3 linked regions of the Pelodiscus sinensis genome follow. The protein of the gene in region 3 binds, or shares a complex with, the protein of the main gene of each other region. Links are inferred from orthologs where the notes say so. Each region holds a gene or a part of one and is shown on either strand. Other genes may lie near its edges.

The links.
Region 1: SNRNP40 (region 3) and SNRPD1 share a complex: the UniProt entries of both Homo sapiens proteins name them as parts of the U4/U6-U5 tri-snRNP complex. The link is inferred for Pelodiscus sinensis from reciprocal best matches to the Homo sapiens genes SNRNP40 and SNRPD1.
Region 2: SNRNP40 (region 3) and E3 ubiquitin-protein ligase RNF113A-like share a complex: the UniProt entries of both Homo sapiens proteins name them as parts of the pre-catalytic and catalytic spliceosome complex. The link is inferred for Pelodiscus sinensis from reciprocal best matches to the Homo sapiens genes SNRNP40 and RNF113A.

Annotation. Positions count from the first base shown.
Region 1 is NC_134712.1:178,735,878-178,743,455, forward strand, and holds the start of SNRPD1 (small nuclear ribonucleoprotein Sm D1), read left to right. Parts: upstream 1-4,577; 5' UTR 4,578-4,783; coding exon 4,784-4,797; intron 4,798-7,235; coding exon 7,236-7,312; intron 7,313-7,578. UniProt on the Homo sapiens protein: Plays a role in pre-mRNA splicing as a core component of the spliceosomal U1, U2, U4 and U5 small nuclear ribonucleoproteins (snRNPs), the building blocks of the spliceosome.
Region 2 is NC_134739.1:6,622,838-6,630,650, forward strand, and holds the start of E3 ubiquitin-protein ligase RNF113A-like, read left to right. Parts: upstream 1-4,812; 5' UTR 4,813-4,975; coding exon 4,976-5,075; intron 5,076-6,169; coding exon 6,170-6,246; intron 6,247-7,585; coding exon 7,586-7,690; intron 7,691-7,813. UniProt on the Homo sapiens protein: Required for pre-mRNA splicing as component of the spliceosome. As a component of the minor spliceosome, involved in the splicing of U12-type introns in pre-mRNAs. E3 ubiquitin-protein ligase that catalyzes the transfer of ubiquitin onto target proteins.
Region 3 is NC_134735.1:17,396,192-17,403,786, reverse strand, and holds the start of SNRNP40 (U5 small nuclear ribonucleoprotein 40 kDa protein), read left to right. Parts: upstream 1-4,581; 5' UTR 4,582-4,584; coding exon 4,585-4,719; intron 4,720-5,175; coding exon 5,176-5,305; intron 5,306-6,912; coding exon 6,913-7,006; intron 7,007-7,595. Other genes in the region: ZCCHC17 (zinc finger CCHC domain-containing protein 17), read right to left, coding at 1,812-1,877. UniProt on the Homo sapiens protein: Required for pre-mRNA splicing as component of the activated spliceosome. Component of the U5 small nuclear ribonucleoprotein (snRNP) complex and the U4/U6-U5 tri-snRNP complex, building blocks of the spliceosome.

The sequences.
Region 1 (7,578 bases), on a different chromosome or scaffold from region 3:
TGGCCTTCTAAGTTGACAGCCTAGCAGGGTAGTTTCATTCAACATGTGATCTCATAATCTTAACAAAGATCTCTGGTTCAGTTTGTGTCAACATGTCCAGCTGTGGTAGTATTAGTAATGTAGACTCACATCATGTTCTTTCAGGTAAGATAGCATTCCTAGTAATACAAAGTTTTATTTCTAGACTTAACAGCTGAGTTTCATTTGTCCATCATACAGGCAGTCACTGTTAGCACAAATCCTTTAATTAGGGTAGAGAATCATACCTTATTGCTTCTATCAAAATTCAGGTCTTCTGTCTCATCTACAATTGATGCAATATTCTACTAACCTATTTGTAAGGTGAGAGGATGAATTATTGGTGGACACTTCTGAGGCTGCAAATGTGTTTTGCACTAAACTACTGCAATCTCCAGATGACTTTTTATTACAGTTAGATAGCAATTTAAGTGTGATTCAGGTCAGATTGTTGCTTTTTATGATGTAAATGAAATCAAATAATGTAAAACTTCTCTACTGTGTTTATTGACCCTCATGCTAATGGTCCAAAGTATTCCATATTTAAAGAACAGTCACAATGTAGAAGATACACTTCATATTATTTTCTTAGTCACCTGATTATCTACTTTTTGGTTATGTGGGGATTACCTGTGGAAGAAAGAATATAAATCTTTGGGATGACAGTCTTCTGCTAAATTCCATGTTTGCACTTAGGGGAAGTGGCAGCAGCTTGCTTTTTACGCATGATAAAACTAAAAAAATTAAGCTCTGAATATTTTTGCTGATTATCAATAAATGTGTGTCTTAAATTTAGTGCTTCCAAATCTACATAAAATCTGAATCAAGGACCAATTTTAAAATATTTTGTCACTTTTATGATTTGTTAAACTAGACATGAAATTTGCTTATGGCACTGTGCATTGTTTAATATTTCCTGTAAGTACAGTTGTATATTCAGATTGCAATTATGAAGATTAAATATTAGGAAAAAAAGTAGAATACTAGGGTTAGCACGGTTGTCATTAATGGCCTAGCACACAAAACACTGCATCATCAGTGTTTCATTGTGTTATGATTGAAAATATGTACAGTTTTTTGCAATAACAATTCATTTTAATCTTGAATGTTTCTGAAGGCCTCTTTGGTTTTGTTAAACATTACCTGTTCATAAGTGCTAGTAATAAAAATGCAAAGTACATGTTGCTTTTAGATGCTACAGTGGAAATATCAGTTGACAGTTTAACTGAGAAATTCTTTCTAACTTAATCTCAGACATCAACTCTGTAATGGGTAAGAAAGTATAAGAACTCTATAGTTAAATATTTAAATAATGGTTTGTATGCCTCATTGGCAGGTGATGTTTTGAAATGTAGTCCAGCTGTCTTACTATGTGTATCTAAATCTTTCCTTGCATCTCCTGTTAAGAGTTTGCTGCAACAAAGACAAAACCTGGACAGCTAATATAACCACATAGCAAGAACTAGATTAATGTAGGTTTTGAGACTTGGAAGGGCATCTGTATTCCAATGCTTTGCAAGGAGATTGTGTACTGTATCTAAGTTTGCATATGATGTACTCATAAATTACAATAAAACTTTAATCTTTTCTAGATCCTGACAGTTGTTCCTGTATTTTAGTTGATGGGTTTAAAAATGCAAACTTTAAAAATTATTTCTTGGAAATGGCTGATCATCAGGTACATTCTGAGCAGTTAATCTGTAAATACAAAATTAAAGCCTTCTATTTTTATACTTAAAACTTTTAATGGATTAGTTTAAAAATAAGATTTTAATTAGCAAATATGTTCCATTTTCCTCTGCCAACTATGAACTTTACCTTTCTGAAAAACAAAGCATTTGGGGAGACACAGGAGAAGTTTAAAAATAACACGTGAAGTTAAAACAAAAAACAGGACTATGTAGCACTTTAAAGACTAACAAGATGGTTTATTAGGTGATGAGCTTTCGTGGGTCAGACCCACTTCCTCAGATCAAATAGTAGAAGAAAATTGTCACAACCATATATACCAAAGATGGTGACAATTTTCTTCCACTATTTGATCTGAGAAAGTGGGTCTGGCCCATGAAAGCTAATCACCTAATAAACCATCTTGTTAGTCTTTAAAGTGCTACATAGTCCTGTTTTTTGTTTCAGCTACACCAGACTAACATGGCTACATTTCTATCACCTGAAGTTAGACTCCCTACTTGACTCAATTCTTTGTCCACCCCTTTACAAGGCCAACTTAGACCACCAGCACTGTTTTTTATTGGCTCAGTGTTAGATACATGAGGGCTGCATCTACACTGGCAAGTTTTTCCGCCAAAGCAATTGCTTTGGTGGAAAAACTTGCCAGCTGTCTACACTGGCCGTTTTGAATTTGCGCAAGAACACTGACGATCTAATGTAAGATTGTCAGTGTCCTTCCGCAAATACAATGACTCTCCCATTTGGGAAAAAAACCTCTTGCGCAAATGCAAGATGGCTCTGCACATTGCTGTATTGTCTTTCTCCCTCGGGGGAGAGAGAGGATCAGCAATGCACCAAAGCATTTCTCCAGAAGCTTTCCCCCACTGCTGTGATAGCAGCAGGTGGTGCCTAGGAGTGGGCGGGGCATAGTCATGTGTGCCCTTGGGAATGGGGTGCCAGGTAACTGCCTCATTACCATAACCCTCCCAGCTTCTTCCGTGGTCTGCAAAAATTCCTTAATCCATCATACTCTCTTTCCCAAGGTTGCCAGATTAGAGGTACAAGTGTATTACAATGGGTCCTTCTATATTTGGTTTAATTCTTTCTTTATATCCTCAGCATTAGAGGAATTGGTAGACTCCCAGGGAATCAATGTTTTATCAGAAACCTGCTTAAAAAAAGATTCCTGGAGAAGCACTCTTATGAATATACTCTATCAGGGTATTTCTAAACTCTGAATCAAAACATTTGGTAGACCTAGGACTCTACCCTTAAATTTAAGAGACCAAGTGTGCATTTATATCAAGACACAAACTAACAGCCTGGCTACGTCTACACTGGCCCCTTTTCCGAAAGGGGCATGCTAATTTTAAACTTCAGAATAGGGAAATCCGCGGGGGATTTAAATAAAGATGTCCGCCGCTTTTTTCCGGCTTGTAGATAAGCCGGAAAAAAGCGTCTAGACTGGCCCGATCCTCCGGAATAAAGCCCTATTCCGGAGGATCTCTTATTCCGACTTTGAAGTAGGAATAAGAGATCCTCCGGAATAGGGCTTTATTTCGGAGGATCGGGCCAGTCTAGACGCTTTTTTCCGGCTTATCTACAAGCCGGAAAAAAGCGGTGGACATCTTTATTTAAATCCCACAGGGGATATTTAAATCCCCTGTGGATTTCCCTATTCTGAAGTTTAAAATTAGCATACCCCTTTTGGAAAAGGGGCCAGTGTAGACGTAGCCCCTGGGTTTATTGGTTAATTCAAAGGAACACACACCTTCCTTCCTGCCTCTATTGGGGGAGAGGTAGGCAGGAGCCAGTACCCTTGAGTGGGCTTTTAACATGGCTCCTTGTGCATGCTGGTTCCCATGCAGCTCCCTTCTCCTCCTCCTTCCCCCCCCCCAGTAGTGTGGGGAGCAGGCAAAAGCTGATGCTAGGAGCTGGCTTAAATGGGCAGCACTTGGGAGGGGAGGGGAAGAGAATGCTGGAACATCCTATTGGCAGAAAGCTTGGGATTTTTAAACCTAGTTCTACTGTGGACCAGCTCTGCCTGCCACTCCACACTGTTTCCTGTGATATGGAGGCAGAAGCATGGGATGGCAGGGGGCTTCCCCAGGAGTGAAGCGGGGAGCTGGTAGTGCAATGGCTGTCAGTCTCTGCCCCAGGAGAAACATTTTTAATAACCAGGTAACCATTAAAAATTGTTGTGACTATATGATTACTAAAATATCTAACATCCCTATTAAAAATATCATAATCCATAGGTAGTACTACTACACATTAATGTGAATGTGGTCCTGAAATGTATTCAGCCCTCCAGTGCAGGATAGCAGCTTATCTGATGTCATAAAGGGTAATTTTGGTTCAAAGTATTTCCTTAAAAAATGCCATTGAGTCTCTACTGCCAATCCAAAGCAGCACTGATATTGGTGGAGAGGGGGTACTAATCATTCAATAAAGGCATACAACTAAAGCAGAAATGTCTGTTGTTCACAATCCCTTGCATTTGTTGAACACTGCGTGTCGCGTACTCCTCTGTACCATAACGGAAACTTAATCAATGTCCTTTGCTAGTTGATTGATGCGTAGGAGGGGTCCACATTTTGGCTGCGAGAGTCTCCTCTTTAAGCCCAGCCTTGTCCTAAACGTCTTGACTTTTGAGGCAAAACTGGGCTTTTGCGCAGTTTGCTTTCGCGTGGGGGAAGGGAAGCAAGCAGGACCCCTGCCGTCCCTGAGCCAGCGCGCCGGTGCGAGACAGAGCCGCTCGCGGGGGGAGTGCGCTACAGCCGAGGGGCCGCGCTGAAGCCGCTGCCCTTTGGCCAGGCCCTCGCTGCCGGCGGAGCAGGGCTGGCCCGGCCCCCACAAGGCGGGAGGCGAGGGCCCCCGCCCCTCGCCTTAACGCACATCCGGCCGCGAGGAGCGGCGCTTCCGGCTATTGAGTCGCGCGACGCTCAGTCGCGCCAGCGCTGTTTCATTCACCGAGCGCCGGAGCGGCCTGGTCCGAGGCCTCCGCCCCGAGCTCAATTTTTTTTTTCTTTCTCCCCGTGCCCGGGTTGCCGCTCTGTGGTCCCGGCCGGCCTGACGCCCCCGCTCCGCCGCCATGAAGCTCGTGAGGTGAGATGGGCCCGGATGGAGGCGGATTCGGGGGCGGGCAGCGGCGGGAAAGGAGCGCGAGCGCTGGGCCGCAACCTGGGCCTTCCGCCGTCTCGTGCCGCGCCGGCTGCTCGCGCGCACCTCACTCTTCTCCCCCCCCCCCCGCCTCGCGCCGGGCGTCCCGTTCCACAGCGGGTGGAAGCAGGGCGCAGCTGTGCACCCCCCGTGCAGGTTCCGGGAGCCCCTCCCCCTAGAGCGCGCAGTTGTCTCGAGGTGGCCGTTGCCACCCGCCCCCTCCCCACGGGCCGCTCCTGTCCCCAACGGCCCCGTAAGGAACGTGACTGTTAACATCACGCACGTGACTTCTTCCACCCCCCCCACTACGGCCTGTGGCCCCTGGGCGGCGAGTCTCTGCCAGAGACTCCTGCCCGGCCGGTGCCTTCGCCCTTTGCTCGCTGGTTGCGACTCCTAAGTCTTTCCTCGCCCCGCGCGCACACGTGGATGAGCCTGGTTATGGATAAAAGAAAGTGTCATTGCCCCATGGGGGGGAGGGTCATTTCCCGCCTGTTTAAATGCGACTCTCATTGTTACACAAGTGTCTACTAGCCAGAAGAGTTACTCCCTGATAACTGCGAGACGGGGGAGTAAGGGGAAGTGTGGCTCCCCTCTTGGGGAGTGTTGCTAAAACTCAGCAAGACTGGGACTCCCTTGTCCCTAGCTGGGCCACAAAGAACGCTTATTCCCAACACCATATGTCCCTGCTAAACAATAACTTGAACAATTCTTAAAAGTTACATTTTTCAGTGTCGGTATTGTTCATGTCGTGCACTTCATTCAGTTTGTGCAAATGAAAATAGATTAGTTTGTTGTATTGTCACTTTCACTTTAGGATTGGTAAACAGTGCAATGATTTTTGGGCTACAATGACTGTTTAATACAAAAGGGTTATTTAGGGTTATTGAACATACTTTTACCATTGACAGTTTTGTAAAACCGTTTTTTTTTTTTAACAAAACAGCTCCTGGGATAAGTAAGCCTATTTCTGTTTAAATATTGTTGTTCCAACTATAAAAGCAGTAGGACTAGAACAGATTGCTTAGGGAGATTTGTTGAAGCTCCTTCACAGGAGGCTTTTGAAAAGGCTGGATAGCCATCTGCTGTTTTTGTTGGTTTAGATGTAACAAATCCTGCCTCTTGGCAAGGGGTTAGAAGAGATGACCCTCAGTGTCCCTTATAGCCCTGTGATTTAGGGCCATACCAAATTCACAGTCCATTTTGGATACTTTCAGCATCATAGGATTTTAAAAATCTTAAATTTCATTATTTCAGCTATTGAAATCTGAAGTTTCATTATATTCTAAATGTAGGGATTCAACTCAAAAAGGAGTTATGGGGGACTCAAGGTACTACAATCCTTACTTTTATGCCGTTGCTAATGGCAGCACTATCTTCAATGCTGGGCATCTGAAGGATAGCAGCTGCTGGCTGGGAGCTGAGTTCTGAAGACAGAATCACTGCCAGCAGCAGCTCAGAGGTAAGAATGATTGGGTGTGCTGCCGCCTGTTGAGCTGGACGCTCCGTCATCAGTTACCATGCTCCAGCTGCCCAGCTCTGAAGGCAATGATGCAGAATTAAGGATGGAAGGTATGGTATTGCTACCCTTACTTCTGTGCTTCTGCTGCCTGGGTGCTGCCTTCAGAGCTGAGTGCCTGGCAAGGAGCTGCTGCTTTTCAGCTGCCCAACTCTGAAGGCAGCACAGAACTAAGGATGGTAATACCACAACCACCTCTCCCCCTCCCCCCAAAATAACTCCCCTGCACCTCCGTTTTGGGTCAAGGCCCTCAGTTTAAAAAATGCTGATCTCCCCAATTAAATCTGTATAGTAGAGGGTAAAAGTGCACAAAAGCCTAGATTTCACTATCTGATATTCCTTTTTTATGGTTGTGAATACTTTACTTGGTTATTTGCCCCATAGCAATGACTGTAGTTCCTGTATTTATTTTGTTAAAAAGCAAAGCTTGTCTTAAATGACTGTCAGGTAACTAGTAAATGTTTTTTGCTGAATTAATGCATTATAATGCTTAGATGCCAAATGCGTATCAGAATTGTACTTAAACTCTTTGTGGATTCTTTGGAACAGTTTCCAGTCAGGATGCTTAGGAATGGTGTGTACAGTCATCACTGGCTTTTTTTGGTTGGTTGTAGCAGTTCCTCAGAGTTCATACAGAATTACCTTTTTTGGAATATTATGAGGTTTGAGATCACTTCATATTGTTTGTAATGCATATGCCAGGGCCTAGGTGAGTTAAGGAAAGTGGTAGAACCTCATTTTCCTAAGTTCTGATGATATGAGACAAGACTTTTACAAAACATTTTCAGAAAAGCCATATAGTTGATTATTACTGTATTGTCATATGGGAATGGAAGTTCTGCTTTTCAACTTCACTTTTATTTTTCAGGTTTCTAATGAAATTGAGTCATGAAACCGTGACCATTGAACTGAAGAATGGAACACAAGTGCATGGAACAATTACAGGTATGGAATTCAAGATGATGGAGACTAAAAACCAAAATAATTAAGGAATTGATAGACAAAGGAAAATCCATTCTCTTCTAAAGAGACTCCACTGTGATAGCTAAATGAGTCGTCTTAGGAGATGGATTCTGTGAAAAATGTGGTGGCAAATAAAATCACCTCACAAGCAGTAGCATAAGAAACATCATTTTAGGGTTTTTCCTTATTCAGGGGTGTGGTTTTTTTTCCCTTTGCGGTGAATGTTTAGACTGTACGTGTATCTTTAA
Region 2 (7,813 bases), on a different chromosome or scaffold from region 3:
TATCTCTCTCTCTCACACACACACAGAGAAGAAAATATTGACTCCATAGCCCTTTTGTTTGCTTTCCCCAGCCCCACTGATGGGTTCTACAGCACCCATTGAGGAAGCCAACAGCTTGGGGAAGCTGCTAGCAGCAGACACAACTCTCCTAGGAACAGACATTATTACTGGTTGCTTTTGACAGGGTCTTCCAGACCCTCACTCAAACAATATTCATCCCCCACTTCAGGCCCATGAGTGCTACAAACCAGAGCATCTGAGTGCATTGTCTGGCTCTGCAGCTAGTGGGGATGTAATTATAGAACATGGCCCCGCTTGATTATTACAGGAGGATGATAAAAGGAAGAATCAGGGAGCGACAGATGGTCCTGGGCAGCCCATTGTTTGATCAGAAACCTGCTCAATCTCTAAATAGCTCAAGCCTGTAACATCAGTTAGCGGGAACATGCTGCACCTTCTGAACAGTGACAAGGACAGACTCGTATACATTTCGTTACATCAAAACAAGGCCAGGAGGAAAGGATTTAATCTCGTTAAAAGAAGACCGAGGTCAATATTCCGTGGGGAACCCAACATGTTTTTCTAAAGAACCGAGTGTAAATCTATCTGAGAGCAAAATGGAAAAGGATGGTGGGGTTGCTACAGAGACAAGATAGATGAAGCGGTATCTTGTTTTGGTCCAACCTCTGTATTGGTTCAACCTCTTGAAAGAGACAAGCTTTCAAGCTACACAGAACTGTTCTTCAGGTCTGGGAAAGGTACTCAGATATGTCACCGCTAAATACAAGGTGGAACAGATTGTTTGGCATAAGTAGTTAACACATAGGCTATGTCTACACTCGCGGTTTCTTGCGCAAGTAATATGCAAATGAGGCTAAGCGTGGAATATCGCCGAGCCTCATTTGCATACCTAATGAGCCACCGTTTTTTTCAGAAGAGGCTCTTGCACAAGAAGGAGCGTCTACACTGCCCCGTCTTGCGCAAGAAAAACCCTCTTGCGCAATGCTGTTACACCTATTACTTTTCAGGAAGAATGGCGTTGCGCAAGAGGGTTTTTCTTGCGCAAGAAGGGGCAGTGTAGACGCTCCTTCTTGTGCAAGAGCCTCTTCTGAAAAAAACGGTGGCTCATTAGGTATGCAAATGAGGCTCGGCGATATTCCACGCTTAGCCTCATTTGCATATTACTTGTGCAAGAAGCCGCTAGTATAGACATAGCCATATTGTAAGAGACCATGCAAAATTCCTCTCAGTCACATATGCCCCGCAACAGGGGTTATTCCAGAGGATGCCTGCGTAGCTCACGTTAGAATCTAGTCCCCTTTTAGTCCTTAGCAGACATGATCCACATGACATGAGAAAAGCTCAGAAGGGAACTGCTCAGTTATTGCAGTGGTGGTGGTGGGGCTGTATAAGTACCAGAGAGGGAGGGATGAGGTGCTTTGGCTGAACAGAGTGAGAGCTCATGTTTAGAATAGCTGGGGATGCTGTAGACCAGAATGAGATGCATCAGCAGGGGCCTTGGGATTAGAATAGTGATGGAGACTGTAGATAAGGACTATGTGCATGGGCAGAGCTGGGGTGGCACTGGAACGGGAATGCCAGAGGTCATTGTAGATCAGGATTGAGGTGCATTGGCAGAACTTGAGGTGCATTGATACCAAGCTGGGAGCGGTTGCAAGTGCTCTGGAGAATAGGGTCATAATTCAAAATGATTTGGACAAACTGGAGAAATGGTCTGAGGCAAATAGGTTGAAGTTTAATAAGGACAAATGCGAAGTACTGCACTTAGGAAGGAACAATGAGTTTCACACATACAGGATGGGAAGTGACGGTCTAGGAAGGAGTGCTGCAGAAAAGGATCTAGGGTTAATAGTGCACCACAAGCTAAAAATGAGCCAACAGTGTAACACTGTTACAGAAAAAAAGCAAACATGATTCTGGGATTCACTAACAGGAGTGCTGTGAGCAAGACACGAGAAGTTATTCTTTCGCTCTACTCTGCCCTGATTCTGCCTCAGTTGGAGTGTTGTGTCCAATTCTGGGCACCACATTTCAAGAAAGATGTGGAGAAATTGGAGAAGGTCCAGAGAAGAGCAACAAAAATGATGAAAGGGCTAGAAAACATGAGCTATGAGGGAAGACTGAAAGAATCGGGCTTGTTTAGTTTAGAAAAGAGAAGACTGAGAGGATAAGATGCAATGGGCTTAAAATGCAATAAGGGAGGTTTAGGTTGGACATTAGGAAAAACTTCCTGTCAGGATGGTTAAACACTGGAATAGTGTAGGGAGGCTGTGGAGTCTCCATCACTAGAGATATTTAACAGCAGATTGGATAGTAATCTGTCAGGGATGATCTAGACCAGGGGTGGACAAAAGCCTCTTAGCAGGTGGGATCTGGCCCTCCTAGGGCTTTGATCGGGCTTGCAAGGCAGTTCCAGGCCCCACCCCCGAGTGCAGGGGTCGGCAACCTACGGCATGTGGGCAACTTATGGCAAGCAAATCAATTTTCAGCAGCACGTGGGAGGAAGCTCAGCCCTGCCCTTCCTCCCCCATGAAGCTGCTGGAGAGCGCTCCCTCCTCCCTGCAGTGTGGATGAAAATGAAGCTTTTTCGGGAAAACGGCCGTTTTTCTGAAAAAAACTCTGTAGTGTAGACATACCCTCAGGTGCAGCCACATCAGTGAGCGCTGGAGATTTTTGGAGGAGTTTTTTTGCTTCTCACTTGTGTGGTCCCCAAGTGATTTTTCTGTGGGTCAGTGCTGGGTGGCTACCAGGCAACAGGTTAGCAGCAGGGCCAGGAGCTGCCAGCCATGTTATGTGAATTCTAAGCCTCCACCCCAGACAACTCTGGGAGGAGGCTAGCCTCCAGCACCCTCCATTGGCCAGAAGTCAGGAGGTCGGGACCCGAGGCCAAGCAAAGCTCTCCACAGGGTAGTCGTCAATCCCACTCCTTCCGCCCAATGCCCCACCCCTTCTGGGTCAGCCCGCGGCCACTTCTGAAATTTGTGAAGTGGCCCCCTTCAAAAATTATTGCCCACTCCTAATCTAGACGGTGCTTGGTCCTGCCATGAGGGAAGGGGAGTGGACTTGATGACCTCTCGAGGTCCCTTCCAGTTCTAGTACTCTGACTCTATAACTGTATTTGTCTGACCATACAGTCTGAAGAGAGTGTTCCCAGTCTTTCCTGTACTGGGCACTAACACACTTGAAAACTGGGCATCACCTCTAGAAATGAGACACTGCCTGTAGGTGGCTTCTGCTACCCACAGGGAGGCTGGTACGATTTGGAGATGCATCCACTCTGAGCGGAACATGCCAAATCATTTCACACCAGCCACTAAAGAAGAGAAAGACTTTTGGTTATTTCTTAGGTGACCAGAGAGCAAATGTGAAAAATTGGGATGCAGGGGAGTAATGGAAGGGGGGGTAATATGGTCCTTTTTAAGACAAAGCCCCTAATTTCAGAATGGTCTTGATAATATCATGATGTCTGGTCACCCTAGTTACTCCTGACCCTGACACAAAGGGAACTATATAACTCATCCCACTCCCAATCCTTTGAGCCATCCAGGATCACCAATAAATCCCCCACCAAATACACTGAATCCTCTTTACTGGAGGATAATGGTGATACCCCATGCTGCCAACCACACTCTTTGCTTGGCTAGTTCAAAGTTGGGAGCCAAATGATTTGCATTGGGGACGCTTTCTGCTCACAGGAAGCAAAGCAAGGTTGCAAGAAGATGAGACACAGGTGCGAGGAGGAATTAACCTTTCAGGTGCCATAAGCTTGGGGATACACATGCTTCCTAAGCATTTTGTTGGCAGGCTGGAAAAGAGCAGTGTTCTTGGTATTCAGAAACAGCTGCTACTGACTCAGAGTAGCTTATAATAATCTTTTCTATTAGCTCCTTTCAGACATAGGGATTGCAAAGAGCTTTACCATGGGAACGCAGGCACCTCTAGGCTGGGGTGTGGGAGGCGTTTAACAGGGCACAGTAGTCTGGGAAGAGACCTGCTGTACTGTAACAGCCAAAGGTGGAGTTTGGCCAGGAAAGAAAGGCTAATGCCCAATACTACCTAGGAGTGCGTGGGGCTCCGCAGTGTTCGGCTTTCCCCCGTTCAGAAGGGAGCACCCAGCAGGCCAGGGTGCTTGCACCAGCCTCTCACCTGCAGGGCAGGGAAGCATTTCCCAGCCTGGGCCCTCGGGCTAGTCTCATTAATGCCCCCAGGAGCCACAGCACAACTGCCTGAAGCAGAGCAGCCCAGGGGGGGCGGCATCAGACCCTCTCCTAGCTGGGAGGGGTAGCTGCTCTCTCTGGGCAGCCCCTGAAAAGGGAAAGCTCCCTTCTGAGGCCCCTGTTTCCCTCTCCCCTCCTGGGGCGCTCCTGCCCCTCCCCTTCCTGGGGCCCCCTGCTTCCCCCTCCCCTCCTGGGGCGCTCCTCCCCCTCCCCCTCCCCTCCTGGGGCGCTCCTGCCCCTCCCCTTCCTGGGGCCCCCTGCTTCCCCCTCCCCTCCTGGGGCGCTCCTACCCCTCCCCCTCCCCTCCTGGGGCACTCCTACCCCTCCCCCTCCCATCCTGGGGCACTCCTACCCCTCCCCCTCCCATCCTGGGGCACTCCTACCCCTCCCCCTCCCATCCTGGGGCCCCTGCTTCCCCCACCCATCCTGGGGCGCTCCTACCCCTCCCCCTCCCCTCCTGGGGCGCTCCTGCCCCCCCCCCCCCATCCTGGGGCCCCTGCTTCCTCCTCCCCTCCTGGGCGCTCCTGCCCCTCCCCCCGTGCTGGGGGCCCTGCTCCGCTCCTCTCCCAGACACAGCAAGCGGAGCCAGAGGCTGCGGTTCCCCCTCCCCGCCGCCAGGGGGCCCAGCGCGGCGCTGCTGCCGGCTGCTTCCTTTCCGCTCCAGCCCGGCCCGTCTCGTTGGCGCCGGTGGGTCCTTCTCTCCGCTCCTTGCCGGCCCCTCTCGTTGGCGGCGGAAGATGGCGGAAGAAAGCCCCGTCTGCAGCTTCCTGTTCAAGAAGCGGGGCCCGGCCGCCGGTAGGGGGCGACGCAAGCGGCCGGGCAGCGACCAGGAGCAGGGTGAGGCTGGGGGGTCGCTCCCCTGCCGCGGACCGTGCCATTATCGCGGGGAGGGGTGGTGGTGAACGATGCGTTTCGGGCTATGCCATTTGTACTCGGGGGGGGGGAGGGTTTCTAGGTTTGTCTCATTATCACTGGAGACGGTTTCTGGATTGATCCATTATCAGTAGGAAAGGGGGGAGATTCCGGGGTAGGCTGCCCCACTGTCACTGGGGAAAGGGGGGTTCTGGGCTGCCCTAAAGTGTGTGTGTGGGGGGGGGAGGGGTGTTGGGCTGTCCCACTGTTACTGGGGAAAGGGGGGTTCTGGGCTGCTCTAAAGTGTGTGTGGGGGGGAGGGGTGTTGGGCTGTCCCACTGTTACTGGAGAAAGGGGGGTTCTGGGCTGCTCTAAAGAGTGGGGGGAGGGGTGTTGGGCTGTCCCACTGTTACTGGGGAAAGGGGGGTTCTGGGCTGCTCTAAAGTGTGTGTGGGGGGGAGGGGTGTTGGGCTGTCCCACTGTTACTGGAGAAAGGGGGGTTCTGGGCTGCTCTAAAGTGTGGGGGGGGAGGGGTGTTGGGCTGTCCCACTGTTACTGGAGAAAGGGGGGTTCTGGGCTGCTCTAAAGTGTGGGGGGGGAGGGGTGTTGGGCTGTCCCACTGTTACTGGAGAAAGGGGGGTTCTGGGCTGCCCTGAAGTGTAGGGGAAGTTGGGCTGTCCCACTATTACTGGGGAAGGGGTTGAGGGTTTCTGGGTTGCCCTAATGGCATGGGAGAGGCAAGGCGTCTGGACAGTGCCACTGTCCTGGTGGGTGGGGGAGCCCTGACATCCTGGAGAGGCCTGGGGGCGCCCTCCCCACTCACCCCTCCCCCTTGGTTGCTCCTGCCCCATGGGACTCTTGAACTGATGGTGCCTTTTTCCCTTGGAGGGGCCGGGGGCCCCCCAAGGGCTGGTGCCCAGCCTCTTGCGCAGGCTGAGTGGCCCCCAAAAGCCCCGTGCTCAGGCCCTGGCATGTGGGGGTGCCCCTTGGGGTGAAGGGACATGGGGCCAGGGCCTGACCCAGCCCAGCTGCTCCTGCCCCTCAGGGCCCTTGAACTGATGGCGTCTTGTCCTCCGCAGGGAGTAGCAGCGATGAGGGGAGCACGGTGGTCAGGAAGGAGAGGCGGCGGGACACCCACAACCCCATGATCCAGAAGGTGACCAAGCCCATCACAGAGATGCCCAGCTCCATGCCTTGTCCAGTTACTGCATCCCACCCTGTGTGGGACCAAACTCCTGGTCAAGTGGGGGTGGGATGGGTCCCACATTCGGCCCCTGGAAATCCCTGGGGGGGGGTGCCAACACCATGAAACTGCTCAGCAGCTGGTTTGCCAGCACCCTCCCTCAGCTGTTGCAGTGTCATACACCCAGCCTATGGATCCAGCCAGTTATACATTTTATTTGGGCTCATGACAGATTCAGACTATACAGAATTCAGGTTCTCACCTAACAGCCCCCCTGCCTCCAAAAACAAAAGAAAACCCATCCCTCTGTTTTGAGCCCATTTGATTATGGGAAAATTCTTTCAAATGTGCAGACAGTAATTGATGCAGAAGTGACTTCTGGGGTATGCAATGCCCCACGGTCAGAGAGGTGAACTTTCCTCTCAAGGGGGTAATTTATGTTTCAAAGCCTAATGAGGATATACAAAGGACTAGATTTTACTAATCTGTGAGCATAAATGCACAGGTTGGGTAAATGCATATGAAAATGGCCAGCATAGGGCAGTAAGTGGAAGATCTAAAAGATCTAAAAGTATCCTGTGTGACTTTTACCCAGTGTGATGCAGTATGCCACAATAACTTCAGTTAACTTCAGTAACTGAAAATCTAGGCTACTGCTTTGCTGGTATAACTATACTGGTGTATTATGTCAGCAAAGGGGTTCTAGTGTGGATGCAGTTTCTATTGATTTTACCAGTATATCTTATTTCATCCCCCACCCCAAGAAAGAGTAATATCAGCATCAGTGAAGTTTTGCCTGTATAGTAGTATCTGCTGGCACTGCTAGGAGGGGTCAGGGATCACACCCTGGCATGACAGAAGCATACTGGCAGAATTCTAAAGCTATGGCTATCCCCTGAAGCAGTTAAGCTGTGTAAGGATTCTATGGCTTGTTTGATTTTTCTCAGACCTCCTATTGTTATCCAGTGGAGATGCACGGCAGATTGAGGGAAACGAAAAGTTCTGGCATTGTAGGCTCACAGATCCAAATTAAACCTATAACTTGGCTCTCTTAATGCAAGAATTTTACTCTGTGATGCCCCTTGATCTAGGAGAATCAAAGGAGTTTTGCTCTGCCCTCCTTCCAGCCCAGCGGTGGCTGCATTAAACCAATGCTTTGTGGATATGGGCCCTGATTTTGACAATTTTTCACTCCACTGATTTGCTTTCCTGGGCTGCAACACTGTCTCTGGCCAACCAGGAGAACATGTCTGGGTGTTGTGTTGTGTGGATCTTTCTCAGTTCTTCAGATATTTGCCTTTCCATCTTTCAGACCAGGAAAAGTGATAAAGAGAAGACCTCGTATGGGGCAAGCAGCAGTGATGATGAGGGGGAATCGCAAGGAATTGGTGTCGCTTACAAATCAACGAGATCAGCGGTAAGCACAATGCGCCACATGGCTTTAAAAGGGATCAGAAGGGACACTAAGATCACTTACTCTGGTCTCTGTTATGCAGACTATGTCATTGGTTGGTTTTATGATTGGGCGCCATGGTCAGGT
Region 3 (7,595 bases):
TACAGCCTCTGTGGAACAGACATTGGACAGGCAAGAAAAACATCCCCAAATCTGCAAACCAGCATGTCTCTGAAGGACCTCATCCTAGCACTAAGGTGGAGTTAACCCTTCCCTCCATGCTCAGATTACAGGCAACCCCCAAATTCGATGCGATCAGTTCCTGGGGAAGCGTCACAAGTCAGAGGCGTCGTAACTCGAACCCACATTTACAATAGGCGCCGTGCACGGTCGTAAATGCGGGCTAAGGACGTAAGTCAGGGGGTTTCAGCCCCTTCCACACTTACAAAAATGGTTGTAAGTGCGGGGGGTTGCAACTCGGGCAATCGTAACGTGGGGGTTTCCTGTAATCGTAGGCCTCTCTAATGAGACTGCCCACTAGAAGATGGGTCAGTGCCAACCGTGGCAGTGGTGGTTTTGAAATAGATACTGGTCCACTAGTATCTAGACTGAGACCCACCAACTAGTTTCACATAATTATAACAAACATCTGATGGTAAAACTTGCCCTCCCTAATAATTTTGCCACACTTACGCAAATAGACAAGTGAGTTTGCACAGAACTTCACTGAAGTTGATTAGGTGCTGCATGGATCCACCCGTGTAGAGCATTATTTTGGAATCAGGGCCTAAGGCTGGATTTGAACCAATTGAAATTTGAGAGGCTCTTTAGCTCATTGCCAGTCCCGTGATATCTCTAATTCTAGTCTTTGTCCTCTCCCATTCTTGAAGTTAAACATACTACGTAAGGCTCTTTAGACGATAACAGAATATCACTTCCCTTTTTAATTACAAGAAAGGAACTAAGGGCACTGCGGATTTTTATGCTAAGTTCAAGCATGGAGTGAACCTAAAATATTGAAATTCAGAACTTCAAGTTGTGCCAGACTGAGCAACAAATTATCTTGATAGCAGCTATTCAAAACAGCTTCCTACTTTAAGAGCCAAAGTCTTTTGTATCTCACAGCATGAGGCAGAAGGAAAGCTTTATCCCCAAGCTCAACACAATGTGAAAATTAAAGCAATAAGTCTTTCAGATTCCCCTACACTTGGGTCGAAAATTAGACTTGGCTGAGAGAAATTATCAGCATGAATTTTCTGCAGACAGCTTTTCCCATCCTAAGAGTGGACTAGCATGTTTATGAACACACATTCTTAGCTAATCTTCTCAAAATTAGTAGATATTGCTTTTCAGAATGACATTAGCAATGTGACTATTTTGAAGTGGTTTTATTTTTAAGACATCTAATGAAATAACACCTGCAATAAAAGTCTCAGCCGGTTCTCAAAACATTAGTATTTACAAAAAAGCGTATTACATTTTTAATCTGAGATTGCCAGTAGAAGGCAGCAGCACTAGAGACTGAAGTCGACTTTACCTCCCTGTCAATGCGCATCAACTCTAGCATAAAGGAGTGAACAAAAATAATGAGCCCAGAAGCCAAGATCACGAGAATGGCTTTAAAAAAACCCATCACTCTGGCACTGCCCCTTTTGATGGCCCTCGGGTCTCATTTCCGTTTCTCTCTCTCTAACCTACATATTCTTTAAACGCTCTACCGAGAATGCCAACAGGAGGTCAGTGTGAGACAGCTGTGACAGTAGTGGGTTTTGTGATGTGGACATTTGCTCTCTATGAACCAGAGTACACAACACAAGCTCATTTTACATTGGTCACTTAGTTTTACTGCCTGTATCTAGGGTTGATTCTGAACTGAAGATTTAAAAATGAAAGGCTCTCTATTATCTCTCAGTATCTTGCACCATTCATGTCTCCCACGCTTCTTTTGTGACCCTAAGCAACACCACACATACCTCTCCTTGGAAGACATCATAGAGTTCAGGTAAAGTCTCCATTGCCTCAGGTCTCACAGACTTCATTTGGGAAGTTTTCTAAGAGTATGCATTCCACAATTCTTTCCCAACCTTTATAGCTTACTTTGTTTCCATGTATTAGATGTCCCATTTATTGCTGTGGAGCAACCCTATTCGTAGCTGAAATAAAGAAAGACACCATTTATTGAAAGAAATATCTTCATTAGTGATAAAAGAAATAAACTCTGGGAAAACTTTTCAGGGATGGTTTTTATCTGCACTGCTTTCACTCTCACTAATTTCTAAATATCTGATACCATAGGGTAAGTCTACACAGATGTGTTATTTCAGAATAAGTGATGTTATTTTGAAATAACCAAATACGCTTCTACACAGCAAGACATTATTTCGAAATAATAGCGAGCTGGAAGACTTCTCACTCTGACTCCTGTAACCCTCATTTCACAAGGGCTGTGTCTACACTGGCACCCTTTTCCGTAAAGGGGATGCTAATGAGACTCTTTGGAATTGCAAATGCCGCAGGGGATTTAAATATCCCCCATGGCATTTGCATGAACATGGTTGCCGCTTTTTTCCGGCTCGGGGTTTTGCCGGAGAAAAGCGCCAGTCTAGACGGGATCTTGCGGAAAATAAACCCTTTTCCGCAAGATCCTGTCTAGACTGGCGCTTTTCTCCAGCAAAACCCCGAGCCGGAAAAAAGCGGCAGCCATGTTCATGCAAATGCCGTGGGGGATATTTAAATCCCCTGTGGCATTTGCAACTCCGAAGTGTCTCATTAGCATCCCTTTTACGGAAAAGGGTGCCAGTGTAGACACAGCCAAGGAGTAAAGGAAGTCAAAAGAAGAGAGTTCTTCCTTCGTCTACCTGCTGTGTAGACAGCGCCAAGAGACGAATTAAGCTATTTTGACTAGGGATGTAAGCGACTGACTACCTGATAAGCAAAAGCTTATCGGATAGTCAACACATTAGTCAACTAGTCACTCCTCCTCCCTCTCCCTCTCCCCTCGCTGCCGCTATCACAAAGAGGCAACAAAGGGTTGAAGAGGAAGGGCGCTGGGGGGAGCCAGCTTAAAAGTCAGTTCCCCCCAGCTCCAGCTCCATGGGATGGGGCGGGGCACAGCAGCAGTAGTGCTTTCTTTTTTAAATGTTCAAGAGTTCCAGTAGGGGCTCTTGTGGATTTCAGAGACTGAAATGCTGCATAGAGCCTGGGGTGGACTCCGAGTCCCCCACTGACCTTAGGCTCCATGAGATGCTTCCTCTTTACAATGCCCAAGAGCCCCCACTGGTGCTCTTGTACATTTCAAAGGTGGAATGTGCACTAGTCCTTATCAATTAAATCCCATCAACTATTCAATCAGTTAATCAATATTTAACATCCCTAATTTCAACTTCAGCTACACAATTGACATAGCTGAAGCTGCGTGGCTTAATTCGACTTTTGTGTAGATGTGTCCATAGTGTCTTGTGCTCACACTATACGTTATGGCAGTGTAATCAAGTGGATAGAGAACAAGTTGAGGAAACAGACAATCCGAGTTCTTCAATGATACAGTTCCCAATAACTTTCAGTACAATTATGAGCAAGTTACTAAACTTTATGCCTCAGTTTCTCCCTGGATAAAAGGGTGCTATGATATATTTCAAAGAGCTTTCTGCAGTAGGGTATGTCAGAAGAGTACCTCAAAAACACTAAGTATTCAAGTACCTAGGCAGATACAGCAAAATATGAACACGTGACTATAAACTGGCTCTGGATAATAACTAGCCAATTTTGCCCTATTCTCAGAATTCAGCCTCACAGACACTTCATTCCTATTTCACAGGGGTAGCCGATGGCCTCAGAGGGGTAGCTGCGTTAGCCTGTAACTTTAAACACAGTCAGTAACCCTAGTCTGTATTTGGGAAAATGAAGAGTCCTGTGGCCCCTTGTAGACTCCACGCAGCTGACCAAGTGGTTTTTACTCAGGAGAGGTTACGCCAAAATAAATCGGTGACTCTAACAGGAGTGTGGAACTTTGGGGGGGGGGTGGCGGCCACGGACCCACAGGAAAGAGTCAGTCGGGAGCCGCACAGAGATGAGCGGCCCCAAACCCAACAACCCCTCACTGCTGGGCTCCCCACATCCCCCTCGCGCACCAGAGCCGGGGGGGGGGGGGGCAGGTTGTGTACCCGTGGGAGGGGCCGGGGGGGGCCGCTCTAGGCTCCCCGCCCCGCTCTGCGAGGGGCCACCGGGCTCCCGGCCGGCTCTCCCGCCGCTGCCCCGGGCGGTTGGAACCCGCTCGCGCCGGGACACAGGCCTGACGCCAGCGGGCGCGCAAAGGGCCCGGCCTGCGCCTGGACGCGACGCTCAGCGGCTCCCGCGGGCAGAAGCAGCGAGCCCGGACCGCGAGCGGGGCCTGCCGAGCGCGGGAAGGGGAAGGGGCTGAGGCCGCGCCGCCCCCTCACCCGCTCAAGGGCGCCGCGGCCGCCGTCATCCCACCTGCACCCCGGTCCCTTCGAGCTGAGGAAGCTTGCGCCCGCCAATCACGGCACGGCATACTCGCGCGGGGTACTTACGGAGCCAATGGGCGCGCCCGATGCTAGAACTCTCCGGCGAATCCCCTAGCCAGCATGGCCAGCGCTGCCCAATCAGCACGCTTGGCGTTCGCAGCCAATCAGAGCGCGGCATCGCGGCCCAATGGGGGCCGGGCGCGGGCGGAGCGAGGCCTAGCGCTGCAGGACGCCCGAGGCCGAGCGGCTGCCGCGGGCCGGGATGATCGAGCCGCAGAAGCGCAAGGGGCCGGTCCCGGAGCTGGCGCTGGTGGCGGCCGCGGCCAAGCGGCCCCGGCATGAGCTGCTGGGGCCCGGCCCGGGCGGGGCGCCGCCCCCGGGGGCCCTGCTGCAGGCGGTGAGCGCGGGGGGCCCGGGATGGGCCGGGCCGCGTCCCCCGCGGGCGGTGACCCCGAGGCTCCCCGGAGGGGCGGGGGCCGGGCCGGGGGGGGCCGCTCAACTCCTGTCGCAACGTGGCTCCGCCTCTTTGGGTCGTTCGTAGCCTCCGCGCTGAACTGACACCGGCCTTGGTGTGACTCGAGACCAGGCCTCTTGCTGCGCGGGGCCTCCGCCTCCCCATCGGAGGTGGGGCCCGTGGCGGGCGGGGTGTGAGACGCGCTTTGCCATTATTATTATTTTGTGTGTGTCAGAAAAGTGGAAATATGACCCGAGTTAAAACTAGTGAAGGAGTTATGGGAGGGGGGGTGTTTTCTGGCCTGCTCCCCCACACCGTCCACCTTCTGGTTCAGAGGTTTCATTAGCTCATTATTTATTATTCTGTTTCATTTCTGTCTGCATTCCCTCTGTGTTTTAGGGCCCTCCACGCTGTTCTTCCCTCCAGGCACCTATAATGCTGCTCTCGGGGCATGAAGGAGAAGTTTACTGTTGCAAGTTTCACCCTAATGGAGCAACTTTAGCATCTGCAGGATTTGACAGACTGATCTGTGAGTTTGTAATGATCAGTAGTTTGTGCTATGAGGGTGGTTTGTTTAAAAAATAATAATAATAATAATACACTGCTGGTGTAAACTGCTTTCCATTCATTCAAGTGCAATGGAGTGACTGAGCTGCTGAGAGCAATGGGGTGAAATGTTGACAGCAGGCCAGTAATGAGCTGTGCGCTTTTGAGCATATTTCAAAAGCGTTGGTAACCTCTTTAATGCCCTAAATCAGCAGTTCCCAACTGCTAGTCCGTGGACCCCTGCTTACCCTGCCAGGCCATGCCCCCAGCTCTGCTTTCTCACAACACTGTACTGTGGGATACATACTCACAGTGCTTTGCTCACACTGTCAATGACAGTGCCCTCAGCGTGAACATGCTCTGTCAGCAGAGGGAGCAAGTGTGAACACCCTCTAGGCAATTTTTGTTTTTATCAATTTTTGGGTGTTGATATACATTTTGTTAACAAAACTTGGTAATGTAGACATACCCTAACTCTTGTAAGAAGCCACATAGTATTGTTACAGTTAGAGCTCTGCAAATCCATGGATATCTGCTTTATATCCCCTGGTATCCACATCCACAGATGTGGATGCAGATATCTGTGACTCATTTTTATGAACGCAGATATACATTTTGGATTCCTGTTTGTATGAATATGGATTTAACTGCAACACTGTAGTTATGGGTTGCACAGCCATACAGGACTATAAAGGGATGAGAAATCCTTCTCCATAAGGACAGCTTGATGTGGGACTCCTTTCATATCCCATCTAATCTGTCAGCTCTCTACATTTAAGAAGGATACAAAATGAAGGGTATAGAAGAGTTAAAACAGATGTTTCTATTTATGCTTATTCATAATACAGGAGCAAAGATGACATTCAGGTTTGTTGAAAGGAAATACTTTTCTACACAATGGATCATTAACCTCTGGGACTCACTGCAACAACATGCTGTTCAACCTAAGAATGTACTAGGGCAGGGATTGTCAACCTTTCAGATGTGACATGCCAAGATTTAATTTATTCACTTCTATTTATGGATCTGTGTGCCACTGATACTTTTTGAAGTCAATAATAGTCCTATTTACATTTTAGCGGCTTCATTAATAAATAAATTAAGATGCAGATTTTTCTGTTTAGTGTGATCCTTGGTCTTGCTTTCCCTTGCTGAGTTCTCCTATTTCAGGCCCTATAGCAATCAGTTAGCCAGTAACTCTCACATTTAGGATTAAAATCCTACTGCTCATATGACTCGGGTTGTGGAACACATTATTAACCAACCGCCTCTGTCTGTTGATGGGGCGCTCAGAGAAGCGAAGTTCCCTGCACTTTGTCAGGGATGGTGCAGCAGCTGGCCTGGCAAGTGGCAGCTGAGGAACAAGTTAATAAGGGTGGCGGCCATGGGGAGACATGGGCCTCCCTACCCTTCCCCCAGATGAGGAGAACTTTCACATCTTCTGTTCCACATATTTAAAAACCTATTTAAAATGAGAGTTTGGCGATTATGCTGAATATTGTAAGTGCTTCATTTTAGTGAGCCCAGGAAGTGTAGCTGTGATGATGTGGGCGTAGAACATAGTTTTATGTGTATTTGGTTTCTTTCCAGTGCTATGGAATGTGTATGGGGACTGTGATAATTATGCCACTCTGAAGGGACACAGTGGAGCAGTTATGGAGTTGCACTATAATACTGATGGCAGGTAAATATCAGATGAAACTGACTTGAGCTGTCATTAGCCTACCTTGATGATGTTTCCAAATGAACTCTGTGAAATGTTTGGGGAGAGAGTTGGTATGAAAAGCTGCTAGATGAAGCCAGTAACCTTTGGATAAAACTTGTAAAAGGTACCTGCAACTGGCAAGTGGGGAACTAGCTGCTGGTGAATGTAAGTTGCTTTACAGCTCCTCTTCATTGCTTCAGTGCTCACCTGGTGGCTCTGAAGAGAAAAAGCAATGGTGCTCTTTGAATGGCTCCCCCTCCCAGAAATAGCTCCACACGCTACGTCTGTTGTAGAGTGCAGGAGCAAAGAGTAGAACCTAAGTGGCAAGTTCCAAGGCTCATGGATGGGAAGCAGATCTAAAGCCAGGCGTCCCGTCCCATCCCGCCCCTAGCAAGTGAATCTGTGGGAAAGTGGATGGGAGAGACAACGAAGGAACAATTCAGGATAAGAAAAGGAAAACTAGGAAGGCGATGTTGGCAGCTTTCCAGATTATCCAATGCTATCTGAGGTTTTTACAAAAGAGATGGCTCCCCCTCCCCCATCATCCTGAGCAGGGTCAAGAAGATGA